2 linked regions of the Tamandua tetradactyla genome follow. The protein of the gene in region 2 interacts with the protein of the main gene of each other region in a biochemical or structural test. Links are inferred from orthologs where the notes say so. Each region holds a gene or a part of one and is shown on either strand. Other genes may lie near its edges.

Evidence for each region. The genes of interacting proteins can lie anywhere in the genome.
Region 1: of the proteins of MAPK1 (region 2) and IER3, one has a biochemical effect on the other in vitro, tested with the Homo sapiens proteins (2 studies listed by BioGRID and IntAct). The link is inferred for Tamandua tetradactyla from reciprocal best matches to the Homo sapiens genes MAPK1 and IER3.

What each region holds. Positions count from the first base shown.
Region 1 is NC_135331.1:85,621,227-85,628,170, forward strand, and holds IER3 (radiation-inducible immediate-early gene IEX-1), read right to left. Parts: upstream 1,988-6,944; 5' UTR 1,869-1,987; coding exon 1,659-1,868; intron 1,564-1,658; coding exon 1,303-1,563; 3' UTR 607-1,302; downstream 1-606. UniProt on the Homo sapiens protein: May play a role in the ERK signaling pathway by inhibiting the dephosphorylation of ERK by phosphatase PP2A-PPP2R5C holoenzyme. Also acts as an ERK downstream effector mediating survival.
Region 2 is NC_135331.1:26,070,426-26,078,230, reverse strand, and holds the start of MAPK1 (mitogen-activated protein kinase 1), read right to left. Parts: upstream 3,055-7,805; 5' UTR 3,049-3,054; coding exon 2,930-3,048; intron 1-2,929. UniProt on the Homo sapiens protein: Serine/threonine kinase which acts as an essential component of the MAP kinase signal transduction pathway. MAPK1/ERK2 and MAPK3/ERK1 are the 2 MAPKs which play an important role in the MAPK/ERK cascade.

The DNA of each region.
Region 1 (6,944 bases), about 60 Mb from region 2:
CACCTCCCCGCACGCGGGCCGGGATCCTGGGAGGGACGGGGGCGCGCGGGGGCGCAGGAGAGCCACGCAGGGTAGGTGAGCGCGCTGGTCTGGCCACAAGCTGGGCCTGCGCCCCCCAGGCGGCCGCACCCTGCTGCTGCGGCAGAAGCGATCCCGCCCCACGCAGCCGGGACCAACCCCACCTCGGCCCGCCCCTTTCCCGGCAGGCTCCGCTCGAGTCCGCGGTGTGCGCACGGCTTGGGCTGCCCTGCGAGCCCCGGGTGGCCTCCCAGCGTCCCCGCAGTACACCGCCTCCCTTCCCGAGCCGGAAGACCAGCCCGGGCTCCTCCCCGGGACTCGGGACATGACCTCCATGGGTAGCAGCGTCCGGCACCCCTGTGGGGAGAAGGGGGGGTTGCCTCATCTCGGATTAGTCCCGCGCTAACTGGGAAAACCGCAGCCTGGGCAACCGACTACTGCATCCGGCGACCGGATGCTGGGGCGGGAGGAGGGGGCGGAGCGCCGCCTGGGACTTTTGGCCGCTAGTCCCTCCGGCGGGGCCTTAGCGCCTAAAGGCTAGGAGGGAATGGGGAGTTGCCGCTCGCAAAGACAAACGCCAAAGACTGCTGACAGTAAATCAAGTTTATTTGTGTTCACAGAACATACACGGCGACCCCGGCAGCGGCCCCCTGACAGCCCACCGACCCCGGACCCCGCAGCCAACCCCTTGGGGGCGACTGCGGGGAGATCGAAGGCCACGGACCTTACCCCAAACGGTCCGCCAGGGCCTCACACAGTAGGCCCCACGGAGTTGAGATGTTGGAAGACGGAGAGTGTCAGCCCCTAAACCTAAGACCCACCACCAGCCTAGACTCCCAGCCCGGAAGCCTTCCCGGACCCGGTCTCTCTACTCCCCTTCCCGAGTCCCAGGTGCCCTCCCTCCACCCATCCCGCAATGCTCCATAAATACCTAGCGATCTGCATCTGCACTGGGGGGGCACATCTCTACTCTTGCATAAGTTAAAATAAATATTACGTACACCCCTCCATCACCTAAAGGGACGTACATAAATACATATAAATATTAATTAGGAGCAATGAAAAATAAATTAACGACGGTCTTCTTCCCCACAGGCCTAACCTAAGCGTGTCAGTGCCGAAATCCCGCCCCAGGCATCCGCCGGCACCTCGGTTTTAGTGTTCTGAGTTTGATTTACCACGCGAGTCCCAGTTTGGGATATGCCCTCGCGCACCAGGTACACTTGGCGTTTCTCTGGATTTTCAGTTTCGTTTTTGAGGGGAGGAAGGGGAGCGTGTCCACGGCTAGAAGGCGGCCGGGTGTTGCTGGAGAAAAGTGCTGAGGTCCAGAGCGTAGTCCGAGGGCTCCGAGGTCACATTAAGAGACTCGAAGACGAGGGGCGCAGGAGTGGGCGCGGGGGACACAGGGCTGGGTACGTCCTCGGGTGCCACGGTCGCCGGCACCCCCTCTTCAGCCATCAGGATCTGACAGAAGATGATAGCGAGTAGGAGGAAGAGGAGCCTTTTGGCAGGGTTCGAGTCCTCGACTGGCAGCTGGCGTCGAACCTGGGGGGAGAGAAGAAAGGGGACAGGTCAGGGCAGGGGGCTCCCGGGCGTATGGCTGTTCCCCCACGACGGCTGCCCACTTCGGCGACACTCACCACGCGAGGGTAAAGAACCCTGCGGCTGCGCTTGCGGTGCCCGCGAGAGGCGCTGGGGCGCGAGGCAGGGGCCTCTGCGGGCTCCGGCAGCGGGTCGAAGGTAAAGATTTCGGGACCGGAGCCCCTCCTGGGTCCCGGGCTGGTGGTGGCGACGGGAGTCGGGGCCCGCACGACGGTCATGGTAGGAAAGGTGCTGCGGGAGCGACACATGGCGAGCCAAGCGAGCAGAAGGCGAAGTGAGGGACCGCGGCGGGGCAGAGGTAGTTAAGTCCGCGGGAGAAACTGGGCGGGCCTTCCTCAACTCCTCCTCTCGCAGCGGGGGAGCGGCTTGTCAGGAGCCATCTGGAAATTCCGACGATTAAACAAATGGGGGTGTGGGGGTGTGGGGTGGGGACTTCACCAGTACAATCCAAGGCACAGAGGTGTGTGAGCTGTGAGTGGGGGTGGGGCGGGACGGCGTGCACATGTTGGGACTTGTAGCACCTGAAAGATGGACCCAAAGACCTGCTTGGGTGATGGTTCAGGCACGCCCGGTTTAGGCTCCATCAGGAAGGTTAGGCAGGAGGGCTTACAGGAGAAAGTCCGGCTTTTAAAGCGTGAAAGATACCCGTGCACACTCACACGCTTGTAGGTACACACAGAAAACACACACCCCAACCTAGACGGGCCAGCCTTTCCAAAACATCAGCTAGTTCCATCTCCCTACCCTTTATTATTGACAGCCCTTCCCACATGAACAAAGTTAGAATAGCCATAGCCTACAACCTCCAGATGGGTCCCTGGACCTGATAAGTCTTGAAATGCAGAGAACCCAGCCCTTCCAGAACATCAACTAGTTCCATCCCCCTATCCCCTATTATTGACAGCCTCTCCCAGTGTGAAAAAGCTAGAATGGGCATAGCTCAAATACCCCTAAAGAATGGGAGAAAGATCAAAGTTGATGATGGAGTTATACAGAAAAGGTAGGGTTTAACAAATGAGTATGAGTGCTGAATTGTTATATTGATACTTCTTTTAGTCTCCAGTATCTTAGAGCAGCTAGACGTAAAAACCAAAAATTGTGGAATTGTAACCCATACCAAACTCTGAAATCTGTTCTACAACTAGTTGTTGTGCTGTGCTTTGAAATATATTGCTTCTTTGTATATATGTTATTTTTGACAAAAAAAAAGGAAAAAAGATGATAAAAAAATATGTATATTCCTTCTGGCCTCCAATGTTCTGGAGCAGCTAGAGGGAAAAGTCTGAAATGATGGTATGGCAGCCCATGACAAAATCTGGGCTCTTTGTCCTGTAACTATTTGTTGAAGAGTGCTTTGAAAACGATTGCTTTTTCCGTTCTTTGCTTTATATATATGTTATATTATACAATAAAAAAGTTAAAAAAGTAAAGAAAACACACACCCCAAAAAGGAAAGGCACTGCAGAAACAGTCAAGGAGACCAAGAGAAGTGAACACACTAGCACATGCAGGCACAGCCGTTGCCTGCCTTGGCACACATGAAAATGCATTCATACATATTCACATACACACAACATGCACACACAGCAAAGAGGCAGAGATGGCACAAGAGACAACTTGGCACAGCTACCCACTTAGGTGTGAGTAGAAATGTTCACACAAAGACTGTTACAGAGGAACCACAAAATAAAAGACTAAGAGGTCATTGGTCACATGGATTTGCCCCATGTATAGATCAAACAACAGAATTCATGTGAAGAACTTTTTAAACTGTGAGGCATTATACAAATATGGTAGCAATGGTAGTGATTCCATTTATTTTCATAACTGTTTTGACACAGTTGCTCATTGGACACAGAATTTGACACCTTCTGAGTATCTACCTGTGCCAGGTATCCTGTTAAATGTACTGTGGAGAGTACAGAGGTCAGTTATCCATGTATGTGCTGCTGAGTGGGGTGGGCTAGACAAAACTGTCACCTCAGCCTTGAGGGTCTTACCTTTCAGCCTGGGGAGGGGACTGTGACCAGGCACAATCTCTCAAGGGTCCTAAGAAAACTTAAGACTAAGTGTTAAACTTAAAAACTAAGGTCTAAGAAAACTTAAGACTAAGCCCCCCACCCCCACCCCAGTTACTGTTCACATTCTTTCTAATCGATCAAGGGGTCTTCAGAGAAGAGTTGCATTTGAGAGGACCTTGAATAGTGGGTGGGGTATCACAAATACAAATGTGTAGGATGAATTGCTGAGAAAGAAAATAGAGTCAGCAAAGGCCTTGAGCTGGAAAAATACAGGGTGTGTTTGGGAATTTGCAAGAAAAACAATCTCAAAGTAAGTTTCCCGTAAAGGGGTAGTGGGAAGAAATAATGGCTGGAAAGCTGTGGGGCAGAGTTGGGAGAGCTTAGCTGCCAGGCCAGGAGGCTGAGTTTGACTTTAGACAGTGAAGCTTGTGGGCTGGAGGATGATAGTAAAAGGAGGGCAGCTTCCCCTGGGGGCTGACTGAGATGAGGAGATGTCCTTGGTAGGGGAGAGCCTGAGGTGGGAGCCTGGAGGCTATTGGAGTGGTTCAGGTAGAAGGCACCAAAGACCTGAAGTCCTTGGTTGAGGGAAGCAAGAGAAGGCATGGCTTCTAAGAGACATTTCTAGCATAAGATCACCAGGATTTCGCAATTGGATAGATATCATAAGGGGCAGGGAGTATGGGGGGTGCTGGCAGCAAGAGGATAAAGGGATCAAAGATGACTCTGGGATTTGAAGTACATGGGCTTAGGCCTTTATACCATCATATCATGCCTCGAGTGTAAGATGATGATATGTCAGATCTCTTCTAGAGGCGTGTGGTTGCACACGCCATTAAACCCTTGCGTTATAGTAGTTGCTCAATAATCTTGTTAAATGAAAGATGAAAATGCAGAACTGTAAGTGCTAGAACTAAAAATGCACAACTATAAAAGCTTTTGAAACATGGGTACATGCCTCTAAACCCCACATACAAATTGACAACGTCTTGAAGAAAGCTGAGACAATTCTTAGGCAGACACCAAACTAAAAACACGGACGGGCATTTTCCAACCAAGGATGTGTGGGGATGCAAATAAAGGGAAAGCCCCATGATTAGGCTTGAAATGGATCTGTTATTACTGTTTCTTGCTTCTTAGGCCTATATGTCACTTCAGTTTACACCCGCCACTCCTGTCTAAACACACAGGACACCACCCACGTTATACCCTCCTCCACGAACAAAGACACATAACTTTCTCACATGTGCCTTTCACACATGCCATCATACTTTTTTCTTTTTAATTTTTATCATGGTAATAGATACATGATAAAACCTTTCCTATTTTAATCACTTTAGAGGATACAATTTAGTGGTGTTAATTACACTTGCAATGTTGTGCTACTGCCACCATTCAATTACCAAAATATGCCATCATCCTTACATGTACACTGAGAGCACAGCTAGCTGCACACCCGCCTACATCCTGATTCCAAAGCAACTCACACACATGCACACAACACAGTGACCAACATGGGTTGGCTACTTACGTGTCTACTTACACGGTGACTTACACATGTGGATGGACCCACGTGTTCACAGACACAAGCTGCTGGCAGTGGAGTGGGGGTTGGGGCACAAATAGTGAAGATGGAAGAAAACTGCTTGGTGGAAAAGAGGGGGAGGCACCCAGGACAGGAATGCATAACTTGTTTATGATGGAAAATTTCTCCAGGGCATTAGGCAGGGGAGGGAAAGGGGAAATGAAGAGGGGGATGTCAGGATTTCATTTGGCCATTATCTCCCACATCTGGAATCTGGGCGATTACAGATTCCAGCTGGTTCTAGTTTTCCTCGTGCTTCTGGCACAGAGAGACCTTTCTTTGTGGCAAGACCAGAATGAGACAAAGACAAATACCCAAAGAACTAGGTTGCCCACTATTCCTTCCCAACCTATCTGATCCCCATTTCTGCCACCCTCAGAGACCTGGGGATCTGCCCCACCCCCCTCCCTCCCACACAGGAAGCTAAGGAAAGGTTGAGAGTGAATCATTAAGCTAATGAAGGGGTAGGAGATGAGTTAAGGCCAGAAAGTGCCAGGGGCTGGGACCAGTACCTGAACTGGTTCCCACTGCCCTAATCCTAGAGAAACAGGCCCCTAGCCCCTTCCATTTTCCATCTCTCCTGGCTCCCCCTGATTTCCTTCCCATCTTCCTGAAGATCACTGTATTATTTCTCCAGGGAAACAGAACCGACCGGATCAACTGGACACCATAAACTAGCCAAGCTGACACATGAACTCAGCCGTCACAATCGCCATGTTCTTTCAGTTCCTCACTTGACCTCTTCTCTTGACCCCCCCGCTAACCTTTCTCCTCTTTTCTCCACGGTATTTGCCACAATGAGGAATAGTTTTATGTATCTGTTTAACTTTTGTTGTTTTTCCTCTCCTGTACTGGAATAAGGTCTCCCTGAGTATACTGGACCACATTTGCCCATTCCCCATTGTATCACTGTCCATCTCCAGTCCTTTGCCTGGTCCTAGTAGGGGCCTTAAGAAATATTCTTAAATAAGCAAATGGATTTGAATCCATCTCCTTTGAGGAGCCCAAACTACCCACCCCCGCAGAGGTGTCTGCTTATATAGCAGTGTCCCTTTAGAGTCCTTCATGTTTCCTCCTGGTAGAGGAGGCTGGGGGGGGGGGCTCAGCTCTGCTCAGGGTGATTTGCCTTTGAATCAGGAATGACTGAGAAGCCACTGATGGGGGCAGCCCTAGCCTTCAGCCACATCAGGCACATTCATAAGAGCTAGTCCCTCCTGTCACCGCACCTTGCTGACCATGGGTCTGGAATGGAGAACAGAGGTAGTGAGAAGTGCTAGAGGGAGAGTGAGCAGGGAAAGGGACACAGATATTTGGAGGTAGGAACTTCTGAGAAAGCGAAGCAGGGATGGAGAGATGGAGCCAGGGTTTTAGGGTCAGGGGATGAAAACTGGAAGCTCCTAGCTGCACCTGGCCTTTAGCTGATGCTCCATACATATTTGTTGGCTTGAGATGGGTTTGAGATGGGAAGGGAGTATGGACTGACATGAAGAGCATATCACAATCTAATGGTGTTAGAGGAAACTGGGCTTAAATCCCAACTCTACTACTTATTAACTGTGTGACCTTAGGCCAGTCATTTAACTTTTCTGAAAATTTGTTTCTCGGTTGAAATATGGGCAAATTGGTCCTAATTTCATTGTGAGGATGAAGATCATGAACATATTTCTCCTAGGCCCATAGTAGGTATTTCTTTTATTATTATTATTATTAAAGGAACTGCT
Region 2 (7,805 bases):
TATCATTAAACAGATGAATAGATAAACAAAATATGGTACATACACACAATGAACTACTATTTGGTCATAAAAAGGAATGAAGTTCTGAGACACGCCACAACATGGATGAACCTTGAAAAGATTATGCTGAGTGAAAGCAAAGCACATGAATGAGGGCAACTACCTTATGATTTCACTTACACAAAATATCCAGAAATAGCAAAACTTATAGACAGTGGATTACGAAATGGGGGGGGGAGGGAGAGTTGTTGCTTGGTGGATAATTTTTAAGTTTTGAAAACTTAAGAAAACAAACACATGAAAAATCTTCAACTACCATTTACACGAATTTCTGTTTTCAGCGCCAACTTCCCTCTTATAAATTCCAAGATACCATCTGGATACAGCCTGAATGGCCCATGGGCACTATAAACTTCATCGGTCCACACCAGAACCCCCTATTTCTTCCAGTTAAATTTGCTCTGCCTCCCATATTCCTTCCCTCAGATAATGGAACCACCATCCTTCCAAGTTCACAAGCTAGAAGCCCTGAAATTAACAACTGCCCACACAATCCATCACCAAGCCCTAGCTCTATCTATCTCAGAAACCCCTCTCAAATCCAGAACCTACCTCTCTTACCCCTTATGGTGGCCTCATCATTTTTTTGTTCCTACCCCTACATGCCACCATTAATTCTTTCTGCCACTCCTATGATGAGAGCCCTAGTTATTGATCCTATCTCTGCAGGCCTCACACTTCCATCTGCCCTTTGGCAAGCTAACTAACCTCTGCTCAATGCCTTCCACTGCTACCGTATTACTATGCCTCTAGGTTACAATAGCCCAACTAATTCCCTCCATTCCAGTTCCTTCTTCTTTCACTTCTTAAGGGCGTTTATCTATCTTAAAAATAAAAATTGATGAAATGACAGCCTCCTACAAAATGGCGATGACCCCCCCCCATTACGCAAACACACAGTGAAACTCAGCTTTGCCTTAAGAGTTCTCTACAATTAGCCTCCTTAGTACTTTTCCAGGACTAGATTCTACAGCTCAAGCTGTCACTTGCTCCTTTTATCTCCCTATCAAAGTCATACACATTCTTAAAGGCCCAACTCAAACCCCATTCTGTAGAAGATTAAGTTCTTATTAGAATACAATATCAACCTAAGACAAAAAGGCCTCTGGATCCAATTCATTTCTGCTTGGATTTTACTTAGTAAGGAAAAAATCACAGGAAGAAAACTTTAAGTATTTCACCAGGAAACTCAGAAAATCAAAGAAGTCTACAGCAGTGATAGAAATGGTTAATAAATAGAGATCATCTTCTCTAAGTAAAAAATCTCATCAGATAAAAAACAAAAAAAATTTCAATAGAAATGTCTTAGGATTTTTTCAGTTCTCATTTTAGAAAACTTAATTTTCAAAAGAAGGACCAAAGAACAGGAAGGACAATTCTGAGATTCACCTAAAGAGAAACGCTCATTGACATACTTACCAGCAGATGCAGTGGCACCAACAGAAGTGATGCTGCAGTCAATGCTTTCTGTCCATTATTTTCTTAGGGTCCTATCTCTTTTAGGTCTGATCTATTTTCTCTTTTAGCTCCTAAACCTGTGAATGCATGTTAATTTTCACAGTTGTATACTGTGGAGCATTTTGCCCCTACAGAGAAAGACAGTATTCAAGATTCATTAAAATTTTTTAAAAAATAATTTTACCTGGTTGGTTCATCTAGCGAAGTTAGTATAAACGCGCCCTCTTTTTTAAAAATTATGTCCATTCAAATGTGAATGCGTTGCTGGGACACGCTAACATTCTTAAATCATTAAGAACCCCTTATTTAAGGAAAGCAGCATGTAACAGAAAGAGCTGCAGCACTTAAAATCAGACCTTGATCTGAATCTGAGGTCCAAGCACTTTCTCACCTGCAGGAGGTATATATACCACCACCCTTCCTCGCCCCAATGTAGAAGAAGTTGGTTGTTCAAACCAAATGAGATCATGCAGACTTAGCACAGTACCTGCTAAGAATTCTTCAATGTTACTTTGCTTCCTTCATTCCAGAGAAAACATACTCACAGAAGATGTAGGTGTAAGGAAATCTACACTTCCACAAATCCTCACCAGCCCCTTCGTCCTCATACATACACACACACACACACACACACACACACACCGTCAGCCTCTCCTTCCACACATTTCTGAGGAACATGAGTCGGGATAAGGGAGCATGTTGTGATGGTGCAAGAACTCCACCAAGGCTGCCCGCACTGAGCGCTAAAACATGAACAAAGTCTACAGTAATTGTCAAGACGTCCAGAGGCATTTTTGTGCTGCTAAAAGAGAGTCTTTAGGGTAAAGGGGGGGGGGGGGAGTCAAATTAGGACCCACTCCAAACGGATCTTTTAATAAATCAATGGGAGCCCCGCTGGATGATCCTTCCTGAAAATGCAAACAGCGCGACGTTACATCCGAAAACTCCAACATGGAAAGACTCCCCCAGCGACCCGGGGGTCCCTCGTGCTTTTCGGAAAGCCTGCGCGGGGTAGCACCGCCCGCCCCACCGACGAAGCCGAACGAGAGCCGTTCCGGGGGAAACCGAGGCGGGGAGGCCGGCGTAGGAAACGGGACTATTTCGGTGCTCTGCACACCAGAGAGGCCGCCGCCGCCGCCGCGCCTCTAAAGGGATTCCCGCTTTTCCAAATGGATTTCCAAATGAAGACCCCGAGGTCAGCCAACACGGGGAGGGGGGCTGCCGTTCCGTCCGCGGACCCCCGCCCCCTGCCGCGACGCGCGCTGCCCGGCCCGGGAGGAGCCCCGCGGGCAAGCCCCAACCCCCAGCGCAGCCCCACCCCCACGCCGGGGTCGGGGTCGGGGTCGCGGCGGCGCGGGAGATCGAGGCGCCCCCCAGGCCCGGCGGGCGTGCGGGTGGGGTCGACACTCACCACACCATGCCGTAGGCCCCCTCGCCGATGTACGAGAGGTTGGTGTAGCGCGGCCCCACGTCGAACACCTGCCCGCGGACCATCTCGGGGCCCGCGCCCGCTGCCGCCGCCGCCGCCATGTTGGCTGCCGGGCCGCCGCCGCCGCGCAGGGCTCGAGGCGCTCCGCGGCCGCCGCTCGGCTCCCGGGGAAGGGTGGGAAACGCGCCGCCGCCGGGCCACCGCCGTGGGCCGCGGAGGAGGACGAGGAGGAGGAGGAGGAAAGACGCCGCTGAGGGTTGCTGACTGCAGCTCGGCCCCACCGCCTCTGTGCCTCCCTCCCTGACTGACGGGCGGGCCGGCGGGCGGAGGGAGGGGCGCGCGCCTAGCAGGACGCCAGGGCGGGGCGGGGTGGCGTGCGCGCCCATTGGCTGGCCGCGGCTCGGGGGCGGGGCGTGCGCGGGCCGGCGGAAGCGGCGCGCTCGGGGCGGGGCACTGCGGCGGCCGCTGGGGCGCTGCCCGGGGGGCGCGGTCACGGGCGCCGGGAGGCGGCCCCCGGGAAGCCGAGGGCGCGCAGCGGGCCTCGGAGCGGGAGGGTGACCGTGGGCTGCGCGCGGACAAGGACGGCGACGGACGGGCGCGACCGAGGGACACTTCTCCGTACTGAGGGGCTGACACCAAAACCGGGGGTTCCGAGACGGTGCGCTAAGCAGACAGGCCCTTCAGCAAATAGGGGTTCAGCACCTGCCATCTTCCCGGGGGTCGGCTCTGAGAAGAAAATAAATAAATTTATATATATATATGTGTATGCATGGATATATATACACACCTCTAATATATATGTACCTATATAGAGAGATATATAGGTACATATCTTTCTCTAATATGTACATGCCTACATATACACTCATATATATATATATATACACACCCATATATTATCTGTATATATATCTTTAGATTTATAGATTTATATGTATATGTATATATGCTAATATATACCTATCTATAGATACATACCTATACATTCTCTCTATATAGATATATGCCTATACCTATATATATGCTAATATATACCTATATATAGATATATATACACACTTATATATTCTCTAACTATAGGGTGTGCAAGGGTAGCTCAGTGGTAGAATTCTCACTGCCATGGAGGAGACCCAGGTTCGATTCTTGATCTATGCACTTCCCAAAAAACAAACAAAAATTCAACAAATGGTGCTACAATAATGGATACTCACATGGAAAAATAATGAAATGTGACCCCCCACTATACAACATACAAAAGAAAAAAGATATATAGCTATAGATAAATCTATACCTATACTTATACTCGAATATATACCCTATATTCTACCTATATATAAATATTATATATATAGTATATGTATTCCTAGAGATTACATTTTAGAGGAAGCATATATGATGGTGATTAAATATACTATATATATATATAAAGTAATATATATCTTCTCTATATCTGTAGATTCATATATATATTCACCTGTAATCTCTTGTATAAACCTTCCTAGAGATTATATTCTAGAGGGAGGAAGCATATAGATAAATATACACAATACTCATATTAAGGTAAGTACTATGATAAAATATAAAGCAGAATAAGGGGTTAGAGAGTAGTGGTTTAAGACACTAGAGAAAGACGCAAGACTCAGAATGGTACAGCTGGACAGAGACTTGGACATAAACAATGAAATAGAAAGGTCAAGAGGGACATACTAAAAGCAACGCTTCAAGACTTAAAGAAAATGAGACAGCTCCACGGAGGTTCAAAAATAGTTATAAACACTAGAGGTTGAAAAGTAAAAACTGGACTCCTGTGGCAGGTGGGTGCCAGGAAAAGCTAAGCCAGTGAGACCGGGCGGTGCCCCTGTACCTCTTCCCAGACCATCTCTGGAAGGGTGTAAGGGCTGCATCCGGATTGCCCAGCCATGTGGTCTTTAAAGCCACCAGCTGCATATCAGACATCAACAAAGATCAACTAGACTAGTCAACTTTAAAAACTAATAAGCAATTTTTTTAACCCTGCGGAACTAACTGTGTGGCACACAAGAAAAGCAATGAAGTGCCAGAGCCAAAAATTACTCCTTTGAAATGCATTCAGTCCATCATGCAGACCCAGTTTTAGAAAACACTTAATTCTTATTCTTGATTGAAAGAAGGCATTGCCAAGGTCAGGAGGGCCTGGCCTGCAAAACACCTGGAGGTGGCCAACCCCCCAGATCAGCCACCAGGCACAGCCCTGAAGAGATGGGAGGATTCGAAGAAAAAAACCTGAAAAAGGAAGGGGCAGTAAGTAAATGAACTAAGGAAGGAAGGGAAGTAAGTCAACTAAGCAATAAAGCAGCTTGCCTCACATCTCACCCCTCTTTTCTTGCATGTCCCTCTTGCATATGTACTCCAACTTTCTACCTGCCTACTCCAGGGTGAAGAGAGACATTATATATCTTAAAGAACAAGCCAAGGTAAAAGGGAGGGTACCATAAAATTAAAACCACAATAGCTCTTTAGTTATTGATTAAAAGCAGTGGTCAAAGCAGCAAAAAGCAGACTTAACAATGCAGAAAAGCACATCAAAGGAAAACTTGAGAAAATCTTTAAGAACACAGAATGGAGTATTGGGGAATTCTTTAAAAGAGAAGATAATGGAGCTGGAGAACAGCATGGAGATGGAAACTAGAGGTGTCCCCCAAAAGAGGACAGCTAATCAATTAGAAGGTAGGATCAACAATATAATTGAAAAAAAAAAACTTGAGTCTGAAAAGATCTGAGGTGCAGGGTGGAAAATTAAGTGGGTTCACTGAGATCCAGAAAAATTAACAAACAGGCTCCAAGATACAAGCTGGAAGCATTCTTAAATCCCAGGGGGGAAAGAGCAAACACTAACAGTATCCCATCAGCGGAAAATAAAAAGTTATTTATTAAAAAGCTAAAAAATGTTGGGTGTATTTTTTCCCCCAGCTTCTTCCTCTGCAGTAAATAATGAATGCCAAAGGAAAACAGAACAAGATTGATAGATGGTAACTTTAGCTGCTGTGCAGATTTGAAAGGATTTATGTACATTAGAAAAGTCATGTTTTAATCCTGATTCAATCTGGTGTTCTAATTAAAGCAAATCTATAGCAATGTCCGATCTAAGGTATTCAGTGAAAGTTACCTTGATTCAAGAAGGCCAATGAAGTTCAGGGTTTCTCTCTCAAGTGGAAGGGCACAGGGAGAACATGGAAGTATCTGCTGGCTTTCTCTCCAGCCCTCTTGTTTCATGAAGCTCCCCAGGAGGCGTTTTCCTTCTTCATCTCCAAAGGTCGCTGGCTGCTGCTTCTTGTGGCTATGTCATTCTTTCATCATTCTCCAGCTTTTTCTAAAGTGCTTCCTCTTTTATAGGAATCCAGTAAACTAATTAAGATCCAGGTAGAATGGGTAGAGACACGTATCCGTCTAATCAAGCTTAATACCCACACTTGATTGAGTCACATCTCTGTGGCAATAATGTAATTACAATTTCAAACATACAGTACTAAATAGGGATTAGAAGAAAAGGCTGCCTTTACACTAAAATAGGATTAGGACTAAAACATGATTTTTCTAAGATACATAAATCCTTTCAAACCAGCACACCACCCAACCTGTTTCTCCCCCTGGGTCTGTGGTTTCCATTCCCCTCCACCCAAACAATCAAGTTGGAAATTTAGGCATGACTTTTTATAATTCGTTCTACTTTTCCCCCATCCCACACCCATGCAGTATTCTTGCCTCTCCAATCCCAGCCATCCAACTGATCACAAATTCCTGTAAATTCTATTTCTTTCATATTTCTTAAGCCTTGCTACTTGTTCTAGTTTGCTAGCTGCCAGAATGCAATATACCAGAAACATAATGGCTTTTAAAAAGGGGGGTTTAATGAGTTGCTAGTTTACAGTTCTAAGGCCAAGAAAATGTCCCAAATAAAACAAGTCTATAGAAATGTCCAATCTAGGGCATCCAGGGACAGATTCCTTGGTTCAAGAAGGCCGATGAAGTTAAGGGTTTCTTTCTCAAGTGAGAAGGCACATGGCGAACACAGTCAGGGTTTCTCTCTTGGCTGGCAAGGCACATGGCGAGCACGGTGTCATCTGCTAGCTTTCTCTCCTGGCTTCCTGTTTCATGAAGCTCCCCAAGAAGCATTTTCCTTCTTTATCTCAAAAGCACTGACTGGTGGATTCTCTTCTTCGTGGTGCTGCAGGATTCTCTGCTCTCTCTGAATCTCCTGGCTTTCTCTCTTGTCATTCTTTTTTATAGGATTCCAGTAAACTAATGAAGACGCAACCAAATGGGTGAAGACATGCCTCCACCTAATCCAGTTTAACAACCACTCTTGATAGAGTCACATCTCCAGGGAGATGATCTAATTACAGATTCAAACATACAGTACTGAATAGGAATTAGAAGAAACGATTGCCTTTACAAAATGGGATAGGATTAAAACATGGCTTTTCTAGGGCCATACATCCTTTCAAACCAGCATACTACTCGAACTGTGGGTCTTCAGATCAGCAATGTCAACATTATCTCGGAGTTTGTTAGAAATGCAGCATCTTAAGCCCTACTCAAGATTTACTAAATTAGGACCTGCAGGTAATTTGTATGCATATTAAACTTTATTATTTTTTTATACTTTTCATTTTTAAATAGTTTTAACTTTTACAGGACAGTTGCAAAAATAAGGCAAAACCCATACAGAGAACTTCAACATATCCTTTATGGCAGTTTGGAGCTGTTAGGTACCCCATAAAAGGCCATGTACTTTTTATCCATTCTTGTGGGTATAGACCTCTTGTGGGTGGGACCTTTTGGTTAGATTATTTCAATTGAGATGTGGCCCAACACATGC